7 linked regions of the Ovis aries genome follow. The protein of the gene in region 7 interacts with the protein of the main gene of each other region in a biochemical or structural test. Links are inferred from orthologs where the notes say so. Each region holds a gene or a part of one and is shown on either strand. Other genes may lie near its edges.

Evidence for each region.
Region 1: the proteins of ERBB3 (region 7) and FER form a complex in vitro, tested with the Homo sapiens proteins (2 studies listed by BioGRID and IntAct, with this or other methods). The link is inferred for Ovis aries from reciprocal best matches to the Homo sapiens genes ERBB3 and FER.
Region 2: the proteins of ERBB3 (region 7) and PTK6 form a complex in vitro, tested with the Homo sapiens proteins (2 studies listed by BioGRID and IntAct, with this or other methods). The link is inferred for Ovis aries from reciprocal best matches to the Homo sapiens genes ERBB3 and PTK6.
Region 3: the proteins of ERBB3 (region 7) and TNS2 form a complex in vitro, tested with the Homo sapiens proteins (2 studies listed by BioGRID and IntAct, with this or other methods). The link is inferred for Ovis aries from reciprocal best matches to the Homo sapiens genes ERBB3 and TNS2.
Region 4: the proteins of ERBB3 (region 7) and HCK form a complex in vitro, tested with the Homo sapiens proteins (2 studies listed by BioGRID and IntAct, with this or other methods). The link is inferred for Ovis aries from reciprocal best matches to the Homo sapiens genes ERBB3 and HCK.
Region 5: the proteins of ERBB3 (region 7) and SH2D1A form a complex in vitro, tested with the Homo sapiens proteins (2 studies listed by BioGRID and IntAct, with this or other methods). The link is inferred for Ovis aries from reciprocal best matches to the Homo sapiens genes ERBB3 and SH2D1A.
Region 6: the proteins of ERBB3 (region 7) and ABL2 form a complex in vitro, tested with the Homo sapiens proteins (2 studies listed by BioGRID and IntAct, with this or other methods). The link is inferred for Ovis aries from reciprocal best matches to the Homo sapiens genes ERBB3 and ABL2.

What each region holds. Positions count from the first base shown.
Region 1 is NC_056058.1:105,761,793-105,765,292, reverse strand, and holds part of FER (tyrosine-protein kinase Fer), read right to left. Parts: intron 3,321-3,500; coding exon 3,178-3,320; 3' UTR 1-3,177. UniProt on the Homo sapiens protein: Tyrosine-protein kinase that acts downstream of cell surface receptors for growth factors and plays a role in the regulation of the actin cytoskeleton, microtubule assembly, lamellipodia formation, cell adhesion, cell migration and chemotaxis.
Region 2 is NC_056066.1:53,836,427-53,839,284, reverse strand, and holds the end of PTK6 (protein-tyrosine kinase 6), read right to left. Parts: coding exon 2,723-2,858; coding exon of another isoform or gene 2,690-2,722; exon of another isoform or gene 2,544-2,689; intron 2,538-2,543; coding exon 2,350-2,537; 3' UTR 618-2,349; downstream 1-617. UniProt on the Homo sapiens protein: Non-receptor tyrosine-protein kinase implicated in the regulation of a variety of signaling pathways that control the differentiation and maintenance of normal epithelia, as well as tumor growth.
Region 3 is NC_056056.1:133,381,162-133,384,327, forward strand, and holds part of TNS2 (tensin-2), read right to left. Parts: coding exon 3,105-3,166; intron 3,000-3,104; coding exon 2,934-2,999; intron 2,857-2,933; coding exon 2,743-2,856; intron 2,525-2,742; coding exon 1,313-2,524; intron 1,210-1,312; coding exon 1,059-1,209; intron 935-1,058; coding exon 345-934; intron 230-344; coding exon 140-229; intron 1-139. UniProt on the Homo sapiens protein: Tyrosine-protein phosphatase which regulates cell motility, proliferation and muscle-response to insulin. Phosphatase activity is mediated by binding to phosphatidylinositol-3,4,5-triphosphate (PtdIns(3,4,5)P3) via the SH2 domain.
Region 4 is NC_056066.1:61,253,584-61,257,083, forward strand, and holds part of HCK (tyrosine-protein kinase HCK), read left to right. Parts: intron 1-1,794; coding exon 1,795-1,898; intron 1,899-3,500. UniProt on the Homo sapiens protein: Non-receptor tyrosine-protein kinase found in hematopoietic cells that transmits signals from cell surface receptors and plays an important role in the regulation of innate immune responses, including neutrophil, monocyte, macrophage and mast cell functions, phagocytosis, cell survival and proliferation, cell adhesion and migration.
Region 5 is NC_056080.1:108,291,315-108,295,299, reverse strand, and holds the start of SH2D1A (SH2 domain-containing protein 1A), read right to left. Parts: upstream 2,801-3,985; 5' UTR 2,626-2,800; coding exon 2,489-2,625; intron 1-2,488.
Region 6 is NC_056065.1:59,883,531-59,887,030, forward strand, and holds part of ABL2 (tyrosine-protein kinase ABL2), read right to left. Parts: intron 465-3,500; coding exon 192-464; intron 1-191. UniProt on the Homo sapiens protein: Non-receptor tyrosine-protein kinase that plays an ABL1-overlapping role in key processes linked to cell growth and survival such as cytoskeleton remodeling in response to extracellular stimuli, cell motility and adhesion and receptor endocytosis.
Region 7 is NC_056056.1:163,438,690-163,442,189, reverse strand, and holds part of ERBB3 (receptor tyrosine-protein kinase erbB-3), read left to right. Parts: intron 1-314; coding exon 315-368; intron 369-709; coding exon 710-851; intron 852-1,546; coding exon 1,547-1,666; intron 1,667-2,736; coding exon 2,737-2,835; intron 2,836-3,028; coding exon 3,029-3,214; intron 3,215-3,381; coding exon 3,382-3,500. UniProt on the Homo sapiens protein: Tyrosine-protein kinase that plays an essential role as cell surface receptor for neuregulins.

The sequences.
Region 1 (3,500 bases), on a different chromosome or scaffold from region 7:
GTAGCTATCTCAGTGGTATTGGCCAAACTTCATGTGAGACCACGCGGCACAGCTGAAACACGAGGTGAACAGACACAAGAAAATCGGCCTGTGTTTAAAGGAAATGAAGACTGTTTCGGTGACCGAACATTCTTTTAAAAACGACCCTCAAATGAAAAAAGTTGTGAAATATGAAAACTGGCTGAAACACTTAGACTCATGTTCTACACTGATAATGCTAGTGAGAGGCTTCAATAATACAGTATTTGTGATAAAACGGTGGATTATGGATGAAGAACTATATTGACTTAAATTTGGGAGATAAAAGAGAAATGTTTACATGAGATCTGTCACTTGGGACCCAGTGACAGGATGGACTGAAATGAAACCTCCGGGTTTGAGCATCTAAACTAAGCCTATTCATACCCTTTATTATTATTTCCTGGAAGAGAAAGAGAATATTGGCTTTGGGAAGTAACCTTAGGTTACATGGAACACAAAATAATTTTAGGTTTCTTGTGTTGATAATAAATGCCTACCTGACAGTAAAAGATTTCTTTCCTTGAAAAATGATGACCGACCTGTCTATTTCTCATACAGGTTCCTTGGTGACTCAAGACAGAAAAATGCAGGTGAGGGTCCAGCTGCCTGGGCTCACCTGCCCCCTACTCTGTAGTCATAAATTTAAGGAATGATGGCAGAAACGGAACAGGAGAAGAGATGCAAGAGAATGAAAACCCACTCACAACACAGATGTGGCCTGGCTGAATTACATTCAGACCAGCGGCAGTTTTGGTTACCACTGTTTCCTTACTAAACAAGTCTATTTTGTATGTTTCTGAAGCCCTCTTTCCCTACATCAACTTTCAAATTCAGAGGAGTATTTGCATGTGAGCTTTCTGGGTATGGATTAGCCTCCTAAAGTACATAATCCCAATAATTATCAGTGACAGAAGGGATGAATAAATCATGCTTTAAGCACAACAAAATTAATGGTAAAAAAGTGGTCTGCGTAAGGTTTTCATAATGCATGTGCCTATTATTAAAGTGAATATTCTATACAACTGATATGACCCTGAAAGAAGTTATTAATCCTGAACTATACCACAGCCTGCTTTGGGATACAGAATAAGATAGAATTTAAATGCTGCGGATGTCACGACGTTATGAAAAGCTTCTTTAATTTAAGCATAGAGATATGATGTGAATTGTAAATTCTAATGGCCTGGATGAGTGAAATATCAAAGCCGTGTTCGTTCTTTCCACCAGAATGCAAAGATTAAGCTTCAGGTCTTGTTCTCAAAATTAAAGCCCAAACCTTCATTCTCTCTCTTTGCTGAGAGCTAAGCTTTGGGGCTGCTAAGTGATGGGAGGCTGTTTTTGTTTTTAATAAAGGATGCTACAGAAGTGCACTTGGAAGCATTGGCAAAGGGCGGAAATGTCCCTGTTTTATTCCTGCTTTTGAAAGCTGGCAAGTGAGTGTAGAGTAGAGCTCTTAATCTTGAGTCTGTGCTATGATCTACTGCAGTTTATGCCATCAAAAGGTTTCACTTACTCATCATATTTGACAGAAGGGAAACAAAGCTGCTTTTAAAAGAAGTTGCCTTGTGTATTGCATTATTTTTGAGGGCAAGTTTATTATGCTTTCATTTGAGTCCGAATGTGGTAATCATGAAACGTATGAGACTCACACACACACAGCCCCTTTTCTCTTCACCATTATTCCCTGCGCAGTGATATTCCCAGGAGGAAGCGGGTGGATGGGGCGGGAGGCATTTCCATCCCATAAACGCCTGCACTGAATGGCAGACCAAAGGATCGCTGCTGTGCGTCTGGACACAGGCCGGAGCACGCACTAAAAGCTCCCAGGCCACATTTACCCCTGAGCGTGACCGTCTCTTACACACACGTGTTTCCTGAGGCAACTATATACAGAACATGGGGTAAGTTCCCTGGATGCAGCTAAGAGTCAGCCGAAGAGAATCCTAGTTTAAACCCGGCAGCGTTTTCCCCGTGACACATCTCCACGCTGCGCTCACAGCTGTCCGCCAACGGTAAGAGTTCCCAGGTAGCGCCGTGAGAGCAAGTGAACAGGGAGCGGACAAAGCAGGCGCCTCTACAGCTTCCTCCTCGATAATGCTCCTCTGACTGCGGAGCCGTCCACTCCGCTCCCAGCTGCCTGACTTCCTGGTATTGTCTGTGTGTGTGGTGGTGGTGGTGGGGGGGGGGGGGGGGAGCGTGCACACATGCCCGGGTGCACGCACAGGAATGCTTATGGACTAGGGCCATTCAGTTCGGACCGCCCTGGACAGCGGCGCGGGTGAACGGAACTGAATCCCAGATGTCTCCTCTCAAATGAAGGCGCTTCAAAGCACACTCTGACTTTTGGGGACTTGTGCATTGGAGCTTCCCTAAACAATTTCTGGTCGCCGAGAGGGCTGTACCTAACAGCTCCTGGAAACATTTCTCAGAACCTTGTTCATGAATTCAGATCATAACGTGTGTGTGTCTGTGTGTGTGCACGTGTGTCTGTGTGTGTGCAGGCGTGACTCTGCCACAGGTCACAGCCGTCCAAAACGGCCTCTAAAAGCCGCGGCCTCAACTGCCAGCTCTGTGAGGGGACTCCAGCCACCATCTCCGACAAAAAGGAGGAAAACCACAGCCTGACTGGGAGGACAGAAATGGGAGGGTTCTTATGCTTATTTCTGGCGAGAAAGGAGAAAAATCCCCTGGGAGGTCTGAACAGTTCTCAGTGTGAAGTGATATTTACCAACACGCTCCCGCCCTGGCGGCGCAGAAAGCTGACTTTGGTCGGGACATGCCTCGCAGACACGGCGTGCCGGGCGGCGCACGGACGGACGGAGCGGAGTCCGCGGCCGGGGCGGCAGCGGGGAGCCGGGCCTGAAGGAAAGCGGCCCTGCAGAGCGCCAGAGCTCCCGGTGCGGGCAAGACAGGCGGGCTCCCCGCACGCGAGAGCCCGTGCCTGTCTGCTCCCGCGGGGCTGAGCTAGGCACGCCCGTGCAAGGACTGCTGCTTCAATGCCTTTTTTTTTTTCTTAAACAGCACATATTTTAAAAAACAGTTAATAAAAAAGTAACCTTAGAAGACGGTTGCACACAACACGGTATACACTCATGGTTAACAAGGAGAACAGTATTACTCTGCGGGAGGAGAGGCCACGTCCACGCGGCTCCGTCACTACGTGATCTTCTTCTTGATGGCCGCGAGCTCTTTCTGAAGTTCGCTGAACTTGGGGCGGTTTTCGGGTTTATAATCCCAGCACTTCATCATGATTTTAAATATGTCCTCTGGGCAGTGCTGAGGGGCTGACATCCGGTATCCTGAAGACACAAGAGAAGGACAAAGAATTTAGGATGGGGATAACCAGACATCACTGTTCACACAGGGCATCGCGCAGTTTGCAGTACCCTATGTTGTCGGTTAACAGAAACAAAAATGCCATTTTAGGGCAGGCTGGTTTTTTTTTTTTTTTCCTGTAAGTAATGCAGGTTTTAATATTA
Region 2 (2,858 bases), on a different chromosome or scaffold from region 7:
CAGGTGAGTGCAGTGACTCCTCTGTTCCCAGGTCTGTGCCCAGGGAGTGACAGCAGCACCCTGACTTTGCCTTGCTCCTCTTAGGTCTCCCCAAAGCAGACCCCGGACACTGGTGGGCTAGCTTCTTCTTCGGGAAGTCCACTCTCCCGTTCATGGCCACAGTGCTGGAGTCTCCAGAGCAGTGAGTGTGCCTTTCTGGGGACCAGTGTGGGGGGAGGGGCGGGGACAAGTGGAAACAGCTTCTGACTTCCTGCTCTCCCCCAGCTCGGAGTCTGCCCAGGCCTCCACCAGCACGATCACCTGTGACCTGGCTCGGGAAGCTGTGGGGAAGCAGCAGCCCAGCGGCCAGCCTGGCAAAACCAACTGCAGGCCCCCGTCCTGAGTCACCACCACCAGCTGCCAGGCTTCCTTCCAAGGCGCTAGGCTCATCAGAGCCCTCTTCCTCCCCCTCCCCTGTACCCTCCCTTCCCCTCCTTTCCCCAAGACCAAGCAGGCTGCAGTCAGGGGAAGCAGTTTGGTTTTTAATATCAAAACAGCAAAACACCAAAAAGGAAGTTGAGAGAATACCACTCTCTGCTATCCGAGCCACACGAACGCGCCTTCCTCACACCCCATGACCCTGTGCCTTGCACCAAGTGGACAATAAACTCCAGGAGTGAGCAGCCTGGTGTGTGTGTGTGAGAGAGAGAGAGAGAGAGCCGTGTGCTCCCCCACCCCCGAGGGAGAGGTCACTAACCCTCAACCTTCTCATTCCCAGGTGTGAGAGAGCTGGCCATGCTCCTTGGGCCTTCCTGGAACCCCTCCTAGGGGGTGTCCTCTGAGATCTGGCCCAGGTTCATGTGGGCAGACAGCTCCAGTGAGTGTGGAGCCTTGCATCTGAGAAGGGGTGGGGTGCCTGGCTATTTTGGGAAATCAGGGAGAGCAGGCAGTCCAAGAATTGGAGCAGAAGCTTCCAAGGCAGCTGCCGAGGTCAGAGCCCTCTATGTGATTCCACCCCTGGCCCCTCCTGCTGCTGCTATAGGAGGCCGGTGGGGTCTCTACCTTGGGGTCAGAGGGATGCCGGTGCCCCCTGGAGGACCTTGAGGAGGCAGTCCTCAAACTTTTCTCCCACATGTCTTCTGTTATGGGTGTTACCTCCCCTTTTCTCTTGTAGGACACACTCTGGACAGGGCCCCCAATCCCCAGAGTGGATCTGAGGCCCCTGGCACCCCACTGAGGCAGACAGGAAGCAAGTGTGGGAGGCTCCTGTGGGTCCCTCTCACCAGGGAATCCCAGCTTTGGGCAGAGTCTGACTCCAGGACTGTGTGGTGTTGCGGGAGAGGGGTCCTCATCCTCTGCCAGCCTCCTGGGATAGGCCTGAGGGGGGTGGGCTGGTGGTGTCCACATTCAGGGCCAGCAGAGTTTGACTGGGGTGTGGGGTCAGGAGAGGGCAGTTCAGTGAGGCAGTGGACAGAGCTTTGGTGTGAAGTCAGAGGCTTAGAGGGGTGGCCTCCCCTGCTTCAAGGGCCGGACTCTGCTGGAGGGGCCCATCCTCCTCTGGCCACCCCTCCCCAACTCCATTCTAAGTCACATGAGTCCATCCCGAGGCATTTGGGTGGCTAAAAGCCCCTAAAGCCTACACCATCTGTCCTGCCTGTCCTCTGTGTGTCCAGGCAGTTTGCAGGCTTGGGGGACAGGCTCTCCTGTGGTCGCAGGGAAGGCTGGTGGTCAGTGCTAAGGCTGAGTGGGGGGTCCACCTCAAGGATTAGCATGACCCCCACCCAGTCCTGGCCACATTGTCCAGATGAGACCCCGACACCCCAGGGCAGGTGTTGCCAGGGCAGGTGGACAGGAACAGCACTGGCCCCGGGGAGCAGGTGTCCGTGCCTATCTCTGCAGAGGACTGGGAAATCATGCCCCCTCAAGTCTGAGGCTCAGGCAGGGCCAGGGGCCAGAGGGGGTGCAGCCAAAGCCTAGGTCCCCACCACACGGCCAGGGAGGCTTGACCCTGGTCCTGCTAGTTGGTGGGCTTCAAGTCAGGACCAGGGACAGGTCCATTTTGAGGAAAGGGGTGATCTGGCTCCTGGAGCCTCCAGAGCAGACGTTGGCTGTGGGGTGCCTGGCATTTTGCAGGTGCTGGCGTCGGGGAAAGGGACAGTCCCAGCTCCAGGCTGCATTGGGGAAGGCGTAGGCCCAGGCCTGCCAGAGCCCCTTCCCAGGAGTGTCCAGCTGGTTCTGGGAGTGGTCCATACCTTCAGCAAATCCTCAGTGAATCAGGGTGGCCCACAGCCATGATCTGAGGTCCCTCAGGCCTTGCCTCACTCATGAGGGCTGGCCTGGCCTCTGGGCATCTGTAGGGAGGCTGTGAGCTCAGAGCGGGTTCTCGTACCTTGTTAAGCTGGAGAGCTTCTCCCACAGCCCTTTGAAGTAGGGTCTCTGCTCAGGGTCCTTGTGCCAGCAGGAGAGCATCAGCTTGTGTGTGGTGGGCGGGCACTCTGGGGGGCGGGGCATGCGGTAGCCGCTCTCCACCCTCAGGAAGGCCTCCTGGTTGGACATGCCTACGGTGGATGGTACAAAGAGGCTCTGGAGGCAGGAGGCCAGTACCCTCTGCACACCTGGCACTCCTACCGCCCTCTTTTGGCTGGTGGCCCTGGAAGATACCCAGTGAGTGGTGCAGGGTGGTGTGACAAGGAGGCAGCCCCCTACTGCCCTAATGACAGTCTGCAATGCTGGGGCCCAGTACCTGGATAGGGCGTCTGACCCCTGCTGAAAATCTCATGGAGGAGAACCCCGAAGGACCAGACGTCAGACTTGATGGAGTAATGCCCTCGGGAGAGTGCCTCTGGGGCAGTCCACTTATAAGGGATGTTGTGGTCATA
Region 3 (3,166 bases), about 30 Mb from region 7:
GGTGAGACCTCCTCGGGCCTAAAACCCAGAATCATCTGCTAGAAAGAGGCTCGGCCCAGAGGAGGCCCACTGATGAAGTGGCACAAACCAGAAGCTGAGCCAGAGGCCCGGAGGGAGTAGGGGCAGGCTGGCTTCTCACCTTGGTCACGGGACAGGTGTGGCTTGTACCAGAACTTGGATGTGTCCTGGACAAACTTGACATTGCTCTGGCTCTCTTGCATCGGGGGCTCTAGAACAGGGAGGGACTAAGCTTTACCCCAGGGCTCCCCAGTCCCCATGCCATGCCCCTCCCTGGAAACCAGGGTTCTCCTAAGGTGGCCCCAGCCTCCTGAAGGCCTTTATACCTGGGGGTTGGGGGGCATTATCCGGGAGCAGAGGTGCAAAAGTGACATGGTGACTAGCGCCTCTGGCTGGTGGTGATGCCTGCTCCGGGCCCCAGGGTCCCGGCTGCTGCCCAGGCCCCAGCAGATGGCGTTTCTCAGGAAGGGGGGGTTGGGGGGGGCCGTTGATGTCGTAAGATGCAGCCAGAGGAAAGGCAGGTGTGGGCGAGCTCTGAGGGGGTTCTGGGCTGGCCACAAGCCAGGGCATCTGAGTAGGCACAGGGGTGAGGGGGGACCCATCCGGGCTGTCTGGGGGATCTCGCAGGCCCTGCCAAGGGGCATGACGGAGGCCGGGCAGGGTGTTGGGTACAGGCCCCCTTGGACTGGTGCTGTCCAAGCGGCCCCCCAGGCTCCTCTCCTGAGGCCAGTCGTTGGGAGAGCTGGGTGGGGAGGCTGAGGAGAAGGCGCCAGGGGCTGGAGGCTCAGGCCCACTTCCCGCAGGCAGCTCTGGAGCCTTATCAGCGCCTCCCTGGGAAACAGGCGGCAAGGCCTCCGCGGGACTCAGTCTCTGAGTGGGCGCCAAGGTGGGGGACCGGGTGTCCTGCCGTCGGGTGCTGCAGGGAGGGAGGGCGGGCAGTTTAGTTGGGTTGCAGAGCCCTGTGTGAGGTGCCTGCCAACACAGGCTTCAGTGTCTACCCAGATAAGGAGGCCCCTGAGCTGCCCAGCCCCACGAAGCACCTCTCCTTGCCCTGGACGGGGCTGCTGGTGTGCAGCGGTGTGGAAGGACCAGACAGCTCGGAAGCGGTGCTGCACTGGGCATCTCGCGGGGACCGGGGCAGGGTGCTGTGCCCGCTGGGACTCTCCCTCCAGGACACAGGCTCCGGCGACTCTGCAGGGAGAGAAGGGGTTGTAGCTCTTCCTCAGTCTGTGCTTTCCCCACCATTCCCCAGAACCCTCTTCTGCCCTGGGCATCCCCCTTCCCAGGGCCTCACCTGGAGATGCCAAGGGTCCTGCTGGGGCCAGGTGCCCAGGCAGCGGATACCGGTCCCCTCCTTCCTCTGCAGGGATCTCATAGCTCAGCTTCCTGGACTGGGGGTAGGGCGGGCTGCCAGGGGAGATGGAGCCAGCCCGGGGGGAGTGGGCACGAGGGCTGGGATACCCTCTACCCTCACCTGGAGACCCACAGCTGTGCGGCACCCGGCCGTATGCTGGGCAGCAGCTGGGAACTGCGCCTCCATAGCCGTACGTCACCAGGGCAGGGTACCCTGGGTGCCCATACCTGCCCTCGGGGCACAAGGCATAGGAGCAGCCCTCATGCCCTTCCTCGCCTGCCTTCGGTGGCTTCAAGCAGCTGTAGTCAGGCAGCGGGGTATGGTGGTGCCCGCAGGCAGGCACCAGCAGGGGCAGCGGGTGCCCGGGTCGCACCGGGTGCAGGAGGGGCTTACCAGCCTCACTCGCCCAGCCCTCCCCAGCCTCCCTCTCCAGCCGCAGCCCATAGAGGGCTGCCGTGGGCAGTGCTAGCTTCTCCTCACAGGCAGGGCACGAGCACAGTGCAGGCAGCCCTGGGTCTTCCAGGATCACCACCTCCCGGTAGCCTGGGGGGCGGTAGCCAAAGTCTCCATTGGTGGGTTTCCCCAGCTCAGGCGGGTAGGGGTACGGCCCCTCGGACAGCGAGCGGCAGAGGCGCCTCTTCTCCACGGAGGGCTCAGCATAGCCCTGGGGGGCCCCCTCATAGGCTCCGAAAGCCAGCCGCCGCCTCTCCAGGGTCCCCTCTGGCCGGTAGTAGCCTCCATTGGGGACCCCGCAGGGTTCCCGGTAGCCCTGGCGGCAGGAGCAGTGGCGGCTGAGGCCAGGCCTGTGTCCTGAATATATTCCGAGGTGGGGGCCTCCGCCCGCAGCGGGCTGGTCTTCATCATCAAGGATGGCCGTCTCGCGCCCAGCTCCCCGGCCCCCACTGGCCACTCCACAGCCTCCCAGCAGGCGCTCGAGCTCCTGCCGCTCGGCAGCCGTCGGAGGTGGCCGGCCAGGGGACTCGGCGGCCGGCTCCGTGGTCAGCGTGGAGGAATGGCCAGAGTCGCTGCTGACAGAAAGCAGCGGGGGTGGGGGTGGCTCCGGAGATGGGGCCGGTGGGGTCTGGCGGGGGGCTCGCTGCACCTGGGCATAAGGACTGCCATCCAGGGGCCCCCGGGTGTGGGTGACAGAGTCTGAGTGGGGAGAGGATCCGGGCGGTATAGCAAGCAGGCCACAGTGGCGGGGGGAGAGAGAGAGAGAGAGAAACAGACAAAGCGCGTGTGTTAACAGGGGATGGTGCCGGAGACTCCAGCTCGGGGGTGTCTCTTGGGAGGGTGTCTGTCTAGGGAGGGAAGCATGTCCCCCCACAGGAAGCTCCACCTCCCTCCCCCTCTGGGGGCACCCCACACACCATCCGCACTGTCCTCATGGTGCAGGTTGAAGTTCTCGTAGGAGTCCCAGCGCACTGCGGGCTCTGCAGTGTTGTAGTCGACAGAGACGGAGGGCTCATTCCGTGGGGTGCTACCTATAGAAGGGCGCCCCGGGGGTGAGGAGCAGGGAGACAACCCCTGCCCCCTGCCCCCTGCCAGGCTTGGCTCTTACCTTTGATCTTCTCTGGGCTGGAGGAGAAGACGAACTCCACCGAGGCTTGGAAGGGGAACCTCTCGTCTGTGGGGAGTGGACAGTGAGGAGCAGGTGACCCCCTCCCTGCCCTTACCCACCTGCCTGCCTTCACCCGGGCTCCAGCCCCCAGGCCACTTGTCTCCAACTCACCGGCCCAGGCCTCATCCAACTGGTCCTTGGAGAAGATGAGCCGTGGTCCATGGATAGTGCAT
Region 4 (3,500 bases), on a different chromosome or scaffold from region 7:
GATTCCACATGTAAGCGATATCATTTGGTACTTGTCTTTCCCTTCCTGACTCTCTTCACTCAGTATGATAATCTCTGGGTTCATCCATGTTGCTGCAAATGGCATTGTTTTATTCTACTTCATGGCTAATATTCCACTATCATGTCTGTGGTGGCTCAGCGGTAAAGGATCCACCTGTAATGCAGGAGACACAGGTTTGATCCCTGGGTTGGGAAAATCCCCTGGAGAAGGAAATAACTTCCCACTCCAGTATTCGTGCCTGAGAAATCCGATGGGCAGAGGAGCCTGGTGGGCTACAGTCCATGGGGTCGCAAAAGAGTCAGACACGACTTAATGACTAAACAGCAACAACAATATTTCATTGTATGTAAGTCCTGCAACTTCTTGATCCATTCATCTCTTGATGGACATTGAGGTTGTTTCTGTGTCTTGGCTATTGCGAACAATGCTGCAAAGAACATTGTCTCTCTCCGTTTTATTCTACACTATCCTCTCCCACCTCTCTTGTTCAGATCTTCCGTGCAGTGCCACAGTGCCTCCGTTTCACAGCTGCAGTGTCTGCCATGTAGGCGCCCCACCATCCCTCGTCAGTGGTCACTTAAGCTGTCCCCAGTCTCATGCTGCCTTGAGTCTCCTTGGGTATATGCCATTTCTTCCTGTGCAGAATCCATGGGATAACTTCCTGGGGGTGGGATTGCCAGGAGGACAGCTCTTACTGTGTACCCTTAACATTGCTTGAACATTTTACCATGGCTTGACTCACTTTACCAAATGAAAGCAAGGAAGGCAGGGGTGTGGCAGGGTGATTAGGACCTTTGGCTCTGGAGTTAGACTGCCTGACTTTGAATCCTGCCTACACCACTTACTAGCTGTGTGATGCCAGGCAAGTTACTTGCTCTTTCTGTTTCTTGATTTCCTCATCTGTAAAATGGGGATAATAAAGGCAATGATTCCATAGAGGTGTTGGGTGGATAATAAGAGCTTGATAAATGGTAACTGCCTGTTTCCCCAGTTGATAGCAGAGGAAACAGAAGTCCAGAGAGGGAAAGCAATGTGCTCTAAGTCACACATAGATTTGCGGCAGGGTCAAGGCCAGTTGACCTCTGGCCTGGGGCTTTTTCCATCACAGTGCATGAACTACTCCTCAGGGAATAAGTTTGGTTTTTGCTGCTTAAAGTTATCCTTAGATTTTTGAGGGGGATCTAAAGATCCCAAATAGTCAAGGAGGATGAAGAAAGGTCCAGGGATGTGGTGCCAAGTATAAAGTTATTTGAAATCTCACATTTGAGCTTAGAAATTCATGCTGATGTCATATTCAACTCTGTATCTACAGAGGAAGATGAACTGTGATGGTAACAAAGCTCAGCCCTCACTCACATGGGCCTCTAAGATCCTGAGAGGTTGATCAAACTAGAGAAGTCTGCAAAAGGAAGATTTTTGACCACAGTTGGTTAAGACTGCTGTATTTTCCCACCCAGTCTTTTTGCTCATCACCTTATCCCTCATGTTGGGTGGTACTGGAATAACCAGCAACATTTTGTATTAGTATTTATAATGCTGTATTATTTTTCTTAAAGAAATCTCCCCAAATTGCAAGTTTCAGCCCCAGCGAACTGGATTCACTTGTGGTAAAATGTCAATATCAAAGGAATGACTGCTTTCCCCCCAAAGAATCTTTGAGTAAAACTGACACCAGAGGAATCCAGGCCCTTGGAATCCTGATGCCAGGCGAGAATGCTGATAGTCAGACAGGACTGCCCACTGCGGGCTTACTGCCCCCTCCCTTCCCTCCAGGTGGTTCTTCAAGGGCATCAGCCGAAAAGATGCAGAGCGCCAACTCCTGGCCCCTGGCAACGTGCTGGGCTCCTTCATGATCCGGGACAGCGAGACCACCAAAGGTGAGGCCAGTCCTCCTAGCCCTGTGTTTCCACCCCACCACACAGGGGAGCCCCAGACATGACTGGACACCATCCTTCCCTGGAGTATGCCATTGTCTTAGCAACTCACCCAGCCCCCGTCCCCGGCTTGCCAGGCTTCCTTCTGCTCTTTGTTCAAACCTTCTCAGCCCCCAGACCTGCCAACTTAGGTCAGTGAAAGTAAGATGCAGTGGTTACTGCCCTGAAGAACAACAACCTGCTGAACTTGATCTTCATTAGCTTGGATTCTTTTATATACCCATCAAAATATATCTTGTCCACAAGCCTGACTCCTCTCTCCTTCCATAAGGAAATGAGATGGGCTCAGGCTGTAGGAAGAGACCTCAAGCAATCTTGTCTGGGACCTGTTTCAAATAACCCCTTTGAGGTATTTGGATATTTTGATGTTGGTGACCTGCTTCCTGAAACTTCTGTGCTGTGAGGGTGGCTTTGTGCCTGGTCATTGCGTAGGAGGCAAGAGTAGTGCCCCAAAACAACAAATAACTCAAACTGGCATCAACTAAGGCCAGTTTTGCCAAAGGGATGATTGTAAGTAGGAGTCCTTTGATTTCAGATTTCACACACAGTGTGTGCCTTTACTGCTGTGTTTAGATTCAAAACTCCTTGGTTCAGAGAAATCAGTAAATTGTATAAGGTATGATCTCACAGTACCCTGGACAATCAGTTCAGGGGCCTTCTACTTGCCCCCTGATTTCTGACCTGGGGAAGCCTGAATGCGGCTAAAAGCAGCACTCACAATCTGTGTTTCGGGTCAGGGAATGTTTTGGCTTTATTTCCTCCCACCCAACAAACTCCCTACCAGCCCCCAGAGGAAAAGAAATGGTACAAAAAGATAGAGCCGTACACAGCCCTCGGCTTCTCTTCTCCCTCTGGGCCATCCTGCACACAAGGGCAGGAAGGTGAGCCTGGCCACTCCCACAGCCCTCAGAGTGGGCATAGGTGGGTTCATGGAGTTAATAAACTTGTAGTACAAGTGCCCTGAGTCCCATCCTGCTGCTTCCTGGGTTCTGCCCTTCCCCATTCAGCATCAGCCAAGTCAGCCTCCCCTTGACTGGGCAGAGTGATTAACAGTGTGGTCCCAGCTACCTGGGTTTGAAGCCCAGCTCTGCTACTTACAGGCTGTGTGACTTCAGGTTAGGTACTTCATCTCCCTGGACCTCAGTCTCCTTACGTACAACATTGTGGTGATATAAAACCTCTACCTGTGGGGTTAATCATTCACTGTAATGAACAATATAGCTTATTATAATGCATATAACTATAGTCCATTATAATGAATATTATTCCTATCCATTCATTGTTATTATTTATTATTCCTATTCATTCATTGTCAAGAGCTGACTCATTTGAAAAGATCCTGATGCTGGGAAAGATTGAGGGCAGGAGGTGAAGGGGGTGACAGAGGATGAGATAGTTGGTTGGCATCATCAACTCAATGGACATGAGTTTGAGCAAACTCCAGGAGATAGTGAAGGACAGGGAAGCCTGGCAGGCTGCAGTCCATGGGGTTACAAAGAGATGGACATGACTGAGCAACCAAATAACAGGCATTAAAGAATCCGC
Region 5 (3,985 bases), on a different chromosome or scaffold from region 7:
CTAAAAAAGAGGAAATGAAATGTTTACGTTTATCAGAAGGGATCCTTGGCTCAAAAAAAAGCTGAGAAACTGTCATAAAAGGCACTGTATCATTGTGTCTTCCCTCTGCAGCAGTCTGGCCATTAGCCTCTAGGACTTGGAGGCCCAGTGTGCCCACTGAAAGATATGTTAGGGGGACTCCCAATTTGCCGACTATTTTCTGCTACTTCATAAAAAGGTTTGCATGGAGAACCTACAGTCATAAAAACTGCATTTAGGCAAGATTCACTTTGGACAAAAACTTAATCTGCGAATTTCCCATCTGTCTAAGTTAATTCCTTACGTGGCCCTGGCCAATTTGAGTAATAGGCTAAGATTATCCTTCTCTCTTGCATCTTTTACCAACTATAATCTTCTGCAGAAGATAGAGCACACATTATTATTCTTGTTTTAGAAATATGGAAACCAAGACCTACAAAAGTTGAGTGATGTCCCAGAGGCCACATCCTGGCCTCCTGATATCAGCCCAAAAGCCTACTGCCATAAAGAATTTGCCTTGACAGTTCATTCATTAATTCAGAAACATTTATTGAGTGCCTGTTGCATGCCTCATGATACCTGTTGCATGCCAGGCTGTGTTCCTGGTGCGGGAGATGGTGTCTCTGCCCCAGAGAGATTACATTGTAGCAGGAGAGCCCAGCAAGACAAAAGTAGACAAGCAAACGTCAGACAGCTGAAAGCTCCCAGAAGAAAACTAAAGTGACAGATTATAACTGGGACAGGGAGAAGGGACTTATTTTAGAGGCTAGTCAAGGAAGTCCTCTCTGAGAGAAGAGGGAGAAGGAACAGTTAAGTGTGAAGATCCTAAGCAAGGAGCAGCTTGGCAAGCTCGAGAAACAACAAAGAGGCCAGTGCGTCTGAAGTCTTAGGAACATCCTGCCACACACTGTCCCCGGCTCTTCCTTCCCTTCCCAGGCCTTTTGTACCTTAATTTTTACCTCTAGGTTGAGGGTCCCATTACCTCCTTTGGTGAGCTTTCCTAAAGAAGCTCCTCTCACCAGTTCACTCACTCCTCCACCTTCTATTGATAAGAAAAGAGCCTAGGAATACGAGTTGGCTTTCACTGACCTACCCCAGTTTTCACTTTCGAGAAACAATAATATAAGGAAAACCTAAAATCTGAGCCCAAGGGATTCACTAGCTTGCACATATATCCCTTGTAGCTTTTATAACAAACGTTTTTAGCATGGCCTGAGAGTTGCCACAAATATGCCTTGCCCATTTAAAAATAATACAATAAACAATGAAAATCCTCTAACACCAGGCTCAATACAATCTCTCATCAATGACCTAAAGGAACTTCAAAATCTTGCCATGTATCATCAGACACCAAAATTACAACCAAGCATTTTCCCTCATTTTGTTTCTGTCTAGAAGCTACTGTACAGGGCTGCTGCTTTCATGAGTGTTTTTACCCTGCTAACAAAGAGTGATTGAGCTAGGGACTTCCTTAGAAACACCCCGTGAGTACTTAAAGATATTGACTGAAATATATATACATTTTATATATATATATAATATATTATAATAAAAAGTACTGAAAGAGAGTGAAAAAATAATAACAACAACAGCTTACTTTTACTGAACACTTAGTATGCATCAGGTCCAGTGCTAAATTTTCTACGTGCATTACAGCATTTAATGCTCAGTCCTATGAGGTAGGTAGTAATATTACACTTTTTGGACAAGAAAACTGAGGGACTGTGAGGTTAACTTGCCAAAGCCAGCATCAGACTAGCACAAGATTAGGTCTTAGCTCTGCCTGACCCTGGAGCCCTGGAGCAAAGATGAAGGTGCATCTGATTCAAAATGGGGCTTTAGACCAAGAGATGCTTAGGTAAAGGGCAAAGCTGAATCATACCAGGGTGCTTTCCCTCCATGTCCTTTACGACTATTGTCTCTCCCAGCGTTTATCACGGAAAGGCCCTATTTCTGAAACCCCACCCCACCCCCCTCCAACTCCTGTAAAGAAAGCTAATTAAGCAAATCCAGAGAGGTGGTTTTATTCAGAAACGTCCCTCTCTCCCACATCCTGACCTAACTGGTATTGCTGTCTTAAAGGATTCCATTTCTTAGTCTTCTTCCTCTCCTTGAATTTGAAATCTTCCTTTGGGAAGATACCTTCAAAGCCATTGCCAGAGGGCTGGAGAGAAAGGCCTCTCCTCTGAGGAGCTGGTGGCCCTATATCTGGCCATTCCCTCATCCCAGGCCTCCACCTTGCTGGCCTCTACCAGAGGTCCAACCTGAAGCCAGGAGCCTGAGTCCTTTTGGCAGCAAAGGTAAATTCTAGGCTCCTTTTCCTCCACTGCAAAGAGCATTCCTACAGCCGCCCCCAAAGGCGCTGGAGAAGACCCTCTGAAGAGCAGGAAGCCCAGGCGAGACAACCCCAGTGAGGGACGTGAGCCGCACGGTGGGCAGTGGGGGCTCCAGGGCCCCGTCATGTACTCACAGCACACACAGACAGTACACGCCGGGAACACTCTCGCTGTCCCTCAGCAGATAGCTGCCATCCAGGCCCGTGGCGAGCAGGAGCTTCTCCCCCGTCTCCCGGCTGATCTTGCCATGATACACAGCCACCGCGTCCATGGCCAGGGGACAGTAGCAGGGAAAGGCCGCTGTTGCTGCTGCCGCCGCAACCAGGCACGACTCAGCCACCTGCCTCCCTGTTCAGCCAGATGTTCAAAAAAGAGAAAGGAGCGCCCCAACAACAGGATGTTGTCTACCTGCCTCACAGCCTCCTTCTCGCACTTCAGTGAAAACCAGGTCAGCAGTTTAGCAGCTTGGCTACTGCCCTAGGGTTCAATTCCCCCCTCCCCTCTCTGCTCCGCCTCTGCCACAAAAGGGTTGGGGTGGATGGATGGACAGAGAGGGGAGGACTATTGGAAGAAGGTCCTTGCAGGATGTGGCCTGTGCTCCCAATGCATGCAGACACGAATGCCTGGTAATGTTTCTGTCCTTGTAGTTTTCCCAGGAAGGCCACCCTGACTTAGCTTAAATAGTCCCCAAAGGGGTTAATGAGACAGGGAAGCCGTGTTGATCTTCATGTGGGGCAGAAACATACTGACAGAGAATGAAAGGCCCAAAAGCTCTGAGACCAAAACACAGAGGTCATCAGTATTGTCAGTGGGTGATCCCCACTGAGCACAGGCAGGAGGCTCCTAGGGAATCAGAGGCAAGAAGTGAACAGCGGACTTGGGATCCACTGCCTCCCCTCCCCAAACCCTCCCCCTTCTCTTTGACTCCTCCTAGTCATCTCCAGCAATCTTGATCCTGAACAAATCAAACATTTCCAGGCTTCTTGTCCAAGATCCCAAAGTGCTGGTTGAGGTACAAAAATCAGTCTGTGTCCAAAGATGTTCCAGATGTATCTATTTGATGGGCCTTAGATGAGAGAATAAATCATTTCATTGGTGTTTTGCCTTCATGCGGACTTGTCTGTGCCTTTTGACATACAGGGCCTACCTTTTAGCATTTGGGACATCAAACTTAAGTCCATTGTGAGTGTTGATAATTGCGTTGTATCTTTTATCATCTGTAGTTAGTAGAGAATATGGTTTTTGTTCAATTGATGCTAAGCTATCAAATTTTTTAGAACCTTTCAACCTTTGTTTCCTTCTCTCTTGTATTTCAAGATGTGCTGTTAAGTAATATTTCCCCCAAACTTCCTCATTTTTCACTAGAACGAGACCTTGTTTAATGTTTGAAGCTGAATGCTCTTCTACATTTTTTCTTTTGAGTGTGTAACATACTTTTCTTTTTCTTTTTAGATTGTTTTTGATGTAGACCATTTTTAGTCTTTATGGAAGTTTTTATAATATTGCTTCTGTTTTATGCTTTGGTTTTTTGGCTGCAAGGCATCTGGGATCTTAGCTTCCCATGCATGTATGCTAAGTCGCTTCAGTTGTGTCCAATTCTTTGCAACCCTGTGGACTGTAGCCCACCAGGC
Region 6 (3,500 bases), on a different chromosome or scaffold from region 7:
CTGCATTGCAGTGAATAATCTGCCCCTGCACTGTCAGCAATGGCACCAGGGTTAATCATCAGAATTTGCTGATGTGCTTGGCACCAGTGGGTGGAAAGTGTTCCAAAGTTAAAGAAGGGCACGCTGGTATTTCCAAGTGATTCAGCACAAAAGAAAAAGATGCCTGAAAACTGTAATTCTCAGCAACCCACCTTCAACGTTTTCACAGCAACTGTAAGGCTGTATTTCTTCCAGACGCCAACGTAAACCTCTCCATACTGACCACCCCCAAGTTTGTGCTTCATGGTAATATCTGTTCGTTCCATCTCCCACTTATCATGGATGGGGGACACACCGTAGACTGTAGGCTTATTACACTTGGGGGCCGGATAGTGCAGGGTTGTCACCAGCCCATCAGCCACCGTGGAGTGATGGTGAACAAGCTCGGCCAAGGTGCTGAAGCGGCTCTCGGCAGTTACATATACCTGGTGAGCAGAGCGGAGAAAAATAAACCAACTGAAAAGGGGTCATTATCTCACTGCTCTCAAGATATGAAAATAAGCAGCACTAGTCACAACAGCCAAAACATGGAGACAACCTAAACGTCCATCGGCAGATGAGTGGATAAGGAAGATGTGGTGTTGTGTATGGCAATGGAATATTACTCAGCCATAAAAAGGAACAAAATAAGGCCATTCACAGTGACATGAAAGCAACTAGAAATGAAGACAGTCAGAAAAAGACAAACACCCTGTGATTTCACTTATATGTGGAATCTAAAATACGACACAATGAAACAAAATCACAAACAGAGCGAACAGACTGGTGGTTGCCAAGAGGGAGGGAGTCGGGGAAGGGAAAGAATGGGCGCTGGGGACAGCAGGTGAAAAATATCATATACAGAGTGGATAAACAACAAGGTCCTACTATATTCAATATTCCATGATAAATCACAATAGAAAATAATATAAAAAGAACACAGATATACATATAACTGAATCACTGTGCTATATGGCACACATTAACACAACACTGTAAACCAACTATACTTCAATTTTTAAAATGCTGATTTAAAAAAAGATGAAAATAAGGCATTATCTTACTGAGATAAGTGGAAGAATTAGGGAAGAATTTAACCATGATGTTGCAGGGGTGGGGGTGGGCAGAGAACTTCACTTTAATCTCATTTAAACTACTCTTCTTACGATTCCTAAAGTAGCTCGAGTCTTGAGGGGAAAAGCTTCTATATCTCAGGATCATCAAGATCACTGGTCTTCAAATATTTTTAAGCTAAATGACTAAGGAGCCCAAATATGGAAGATAAAGGAAGAGAAGCGCTGATTAAAGTAGGTAAGAGGGGACTGGCTTCCTGTAAAAGTTTATGAACTCCCACCTCAGAATCTTACACAGAACATAATTTGAAAACCACTGATTTTAATTTTTTTGGTAGAGAGAGGATATTCAAATATCTTATGATTTTTATTTCATTAAGAGGCACTTTTGAGTGCCCAAGCAATTTTTTAAAAAGAGCCACAATTTTATCTCAGAAAGTAAACAAAACAGTAGTTAATATGTGATAAGCAAGAAGAAGGATGAAGTAGGATAGCAGTCTCTAAGCCTTATCTTCCAAGGGAGCTTGTTTATTTTCTTAAAAAAGAGATTCTAGAGTATACAGAAGAGCATATAATTAATAAATGGAGAACAGACGAGTCCTGTAAAGTGAACTCACCCATGATAAACATCTCCCACCCAAGAGAATCACAGTATTACCAGCACCCAGCAGCCTCCCTCCTGCCCTCCGAGCTACTGACCCCGCAAAGGTAACCACTCTGCTGACTTCTAACGCCTTAGATTAGCTTAGATTGTGAACTGTACCTATGCAAACGGAACCACACAATAAGCATTGTTTTGTGCCTGTTTTCTGTCACCCAACTTTTTTTACTGTGATATAATTCATATATTTCACCACAAAATTCACAATTTCAATTGTGCAATACAGTGACTTTTAATAAATGCATTGATTGTCCAACCATTACCACTATCTAATTTCAGGACATTTTCATCACCCTACAAAGAAACCCCAGACCCATTAGAGGTCATTCCCACTCCCCTCATCCCCTTCCTCAGTAATCACTAATCCCTTCTACTCAACTTTATGTGTAAGAGATTCATCTATGACTGTTCTAGAGGGCCGGATACTAAGCATTTTAGGTTTGTGGCCACAGCATTTCTGTCGTTACTCAAGTCTGCCATAATACTGAGAAAGCAGCCATAGACAACACATACACAAATGGGTGCATCTGCATTCCAGTACAATTTTATCTGCAAGAGTAGGCAGCCAGTGGGTCATGGTTTTTGCTAGTAACGTGTGTAGTAGAGCTGCGTTCACTTTGTGTAAGATTCCTTTTTACAAATATACCACAATGTATTAATTCAGTCCACTGCTGTCAGACAGCTGAGTGTTTCTAGTTTCTGGCTACTACACGTAACGCTGCTATGAACATTCCTGTACATGTCTGCTGAACACACATGCACTCACTTCTGTTGGGAAGACAACCAGAAGTAGATTCTGCTGAGTGGCCCTTATATCATCACTTACCTGATTCTATTTGGTTTCATGAAGAAAAAAATACGTCTTATAGGGTGGTGCAAAGAAAATTAATAATTTACTGTTTCCTACTTTTTACCAGCCATTATCTTTTATTGAAATTATCTCACTGAATGCTGCCAATAAAATGGGATGGGAAACTGAGGCTTAAGTAAGGTCACAATGTGAATAAATGATGGAGTTACCCAGCAAACCAGATTTGCTTGCTCTAAAGCCTATGCTTTTCCCCTACTATGCATATCATAAAGAGAGAAAAAGTGGAAGAAACAATTCAATCTAAATTTACTATTCAAGGACTTCCCTGGTGGTCCAACACTTAAGAACCTACCTTGCAGGGCAGGCAAAGCAGGTTCAATCCCTGGTCGGGGAACTGAGATCCCACAGGCCACAGAGCAACTCAGCCTGCACACCCTAACTATAAATTTACTGTTCAACAGAAGAACGGACATAAATCTACTCTCTACCATTTATAAAGCAAGACAGTTCCACTCTAACATAGCCATTCTTATACGGTTGGTCTTTCTAACCTGCAAAGTGCTAAATGACTGACTGATCTATTTATATTAACATACATTAATGACCAATATCAGTCTCAGAAGCCTAAAGTTTTACTCTTTAAACTTTCTGGTAGAGATTATTATAATTTTCATAAATGGTTTAATTTATAAAATTCCACACAATGTATTGGATGTATATGTGCATATCTGTATACTGATAAGTTAACTTATACAGCTGTTTCCTTCATTTTTCACCTTCAAATCTAGTTCATCTTTAAACTCTTGATGTAATACTGTTTTTAATTTCCATTACCATACTGTCTTTTTTGTTTTGTTTTGTTTTGTTTTTTTTACCATACTGTTTTGAAAAGAGTAAGCGCTCTCTCATGTGCCAAACAGCTCAAACTCACATCAGT
Region 7 (3,500 bases):
GGAACTATGATGTAAGAACCACTCCCAGCTGCGTAGTGAAGGACTGGAGAAAAGGAAACTCAGTAACTGCTCAAAATGATACCACAATTTGAGAGACCTGGAATAGCCTCAACTCAGGGGAGTTTCATTCAGCAGAGGGACTCAGGGAGGGTTGCTGAGCCAGAGATGGGGCCATGTCTTGGGATATGCTTTGGACTCCAGGACTGGATGCCATGGAAGGGTCTGAAACAATGTTATATGTTGAGGCTGTTGGAATTGAGCCTCCAGTGGGAGTCTCCCAAGCTCCCATTTAAGGAGCTGACTTTCTTCTCCAGGTGTAAGGGACCAGAGCTACAAGACTGTTTAGGCCAACTGCTGCCACTAATCAGGTATGGTGGGCTTAGAGGTATAGGGACCTGGGGATATTTGGGGAAGCACAGTTACTTCCTGCAAAGAGTTGAGTGTATTCATTCTGGCCTTCTATATATAGGCTACTATCATGGGACTCAGGGACACAAGAATCCACGTTTCTGGCCTTCCCTTCCTAAAATTAACTTGCAGTGGTCTTGGGGTGGAGATTGAGGTTAACCCCTTCATTGCTCAAGGATATATGCAGATGTGCAGGTTAACTTCTTGCCCAAGATCTGTTCTATACATTTAGTACAGGTATAAATGACATTTGTACAGGGAGCGTAGACCCAGGATAATTCTGGGCTTCTCTGTTCTGCAGCAAAACCCACCTGGCAATGGCCTTAACAGTGGTAGTCGGGTTGGCAGTGACTTTCCTGATCCTGGGCAGCACTTTTCTCTATTGGCGTGGACGCCAGATTCAGAATAAGAGGGCTATGAGGCGCTACCTGGAACGGGGTGAGGTGAGTGTCTATCTTACCCTGGAAACGTGCCCTATACCATCATCACCCTTGGAGAGCCTCTTCCTTCCCCAGAGCCTTGATCCCTTTCTTCAAGGAGGCAGTATGGTCCCCCGGAAAGGACTCTGCCCAGAGAAATGGGAAACTCCTGATTTTGCCATTAATTTGCCATGTGACTTTGAAGAAGTTACCTTCCTTCTCTGCCTGTTTATGCACATATACAGAGGAAACAATAACATTCATCCTTACAAGATGGCTGTAAGGGTAAAAGGGGATTTGTGAAAATGCTTTGAAAAACAGAAAATGTATAAAAGTACTCAAGGCATGGCTTGAGCTCCTTCGCTGGTCACCTGACACTATCACAACATTGTTGATTGGCTGTACTCCAATATAAAATAAAAAATTCAAAGTCTGAAAAATTAATCAACGTGATAGTATTACCAACCCTCTCCCCTACCCCCCTATCAAAGGGAAAACCTAACCCTCTTGATTCCTGATCTCATGAACACAACTTCCTCAGTCCTCAAGGTCTGTTATGCTCCAATAGGCCTGAAATGTTTTCTAAGACTAGAGACATTTCTCCTCCTGTTCCCACCCCTTCAGGCTTTGCTGCTCTTGGCAGGCACCTGTGGCGAGGGGCCTGGAGATGGACATGGGAGTGGGCTTTCCTGAGTACCTCCTTCCCATCTGTTCTGCAGAGTGTAGAGCCTCTGGATCCCAGTGAAAAGGCTAACAAAGTCTTGGCCCGAGTCTTCAAAGAAACAGAGCTGAGGAAGCTTAAAGTGCTGGGCTCCGGCATCTTTGGAACTGTGCACAAAGTGAGTGGCCCACAAGAAGATTGGGGAGGTGGGGAAAGGATCTAGGGCAAGGAGAGAGATCAGGGAAAGATCTTTTCATTCCATACCTTTTAATAGTGTTCTAGGTCAGACTTCAAAAACTAGCAAACTCAGAAAAAAAGAGATCAGATTGGAGAGATTGGAGGTTACCAGAAGTAGAGGTGGGATAGAAAAGAAAGAAAGTGAAGTCGCTCAGTCATGTCCAAATCTTTGCTACCCCATGGAGTACAGCCCATCAGGCTCCTCTGTCCATGGGGTTTTTCAGGCAAGAATACTGGAGTGGGTTGCCATTTCCTTCATCCAGGGGATCTTCCCAACCCAGGAATCAAACCCAGCTCTCCTGCATTGCAGGCAGATGCTTTAACCTCTGAGCTACCAGGGAAGCTCAGGTTCTCCATTGGGGTAGGAGGAGGAGGAATTGGATGAAGGCAGTCAAAATGTATAGACTTACAGTTATAAGATAAATATGTACTAAGTGATGTGCATGCATGCTAAGTTGCTTCAGTTGTGTCTGACTCTTTGCGACCCCGTGGACTGTAGCCTGCCAGGTTCCTCTGTCCATGGCATTTTCCAGGCAAGAATGCTGGAGCGGGTTGCCATGCCCTGCTCCAGGGGATCTTCCTGACTCAGGGACTGAAAATGCATCTCCTGCAGTTCCTATATTACAGGCGAATTCTTTACTGCTGAGCCACCCGGGAAGCCCACTAAGTGATGTAAAATGTGATAAATGTAATTAACGCTGCTGTATGCTATATATGAAAGTAGTTAAGAAAGTAAATCCTCCTAAAAGTTAAGATTTCTCATCATAAGAAAAAAACTTCTATTTCTTTAATTTTGTTTCTCTCTCAGATGATGGATATTCACTAAACTTATTGTGGTAATCTTTTCATGATACATGTAAGTCAAGTCATTATGCTGTACATCTTAAACATATACAGTGGTATATGTCAATTATACCTCAATAAAACTAGAAAAAGAAAAAAAAAAGATCCAGGGAAAGGAGTAGCCTGGGAAGAATGACCTTAGGCTGACTCCTGCCCAAAACTTCCCAGGGCGTGTGGATTCCTGAGGGTGAATCAATCAAGATTCCAGTCTGCATTAAAGTCATTGAGGACAAGAGTGGACGGCAAAGTTTTCAAGCTGTGACAGACGTAAGTGAAGGCAAGGTGTTCGGTGTGCCACTAGGAGAGGATAGCTATTAGATACAATTATGTAGAAACACGGTCTTGTGTTAGCAGGTACTATATTAGCCACAGAGATGTCCCTGAATGTTGGGGGAGCCCTGGTCTGGTTTTATGTGAACCTGTCTGTTCCCAGGATGACCTTTCTTGTTGTGTCTTTTAGCACATGCTGGCCATCGGCAGCCTCGACCATGCCCACATTGTACGGCTGCTGGGACTGTCTCCAGGGTCATCTCTGCAGCTCGTCACTCAGTACTTGCCTCTGGGCTCCCTGCTGGATCACGTGAGACAACACCGTGGGGCGCTGGGGCCACAGCTGCTGCTCAACTGGGGAGTACAAATTGCCAAAGTGAGTGCGAGGAGCCTGGAGGAGTTTTAAGACAGAACTGCCTACAGGCCTGCAGGGAGGGGCCCAGGGGCTTGGAAGTGTTGAGAGGTGCCTGAGGGTTTGAGGTGATTCTGGGACTCAATTGAGAACCAATTTCTCCAACTTTAAGAAAACTTCCTTCCCTACAGGGAATGTACTACCTTGAGGAACATGGCATGGTGCATAGGAACCTGGCTGCCCGAAATGTGCTACTAAAATCACCTAGCCAGGTTCAGGTGGCAGATTTTGGGGTTGCTGACTTGCTGCC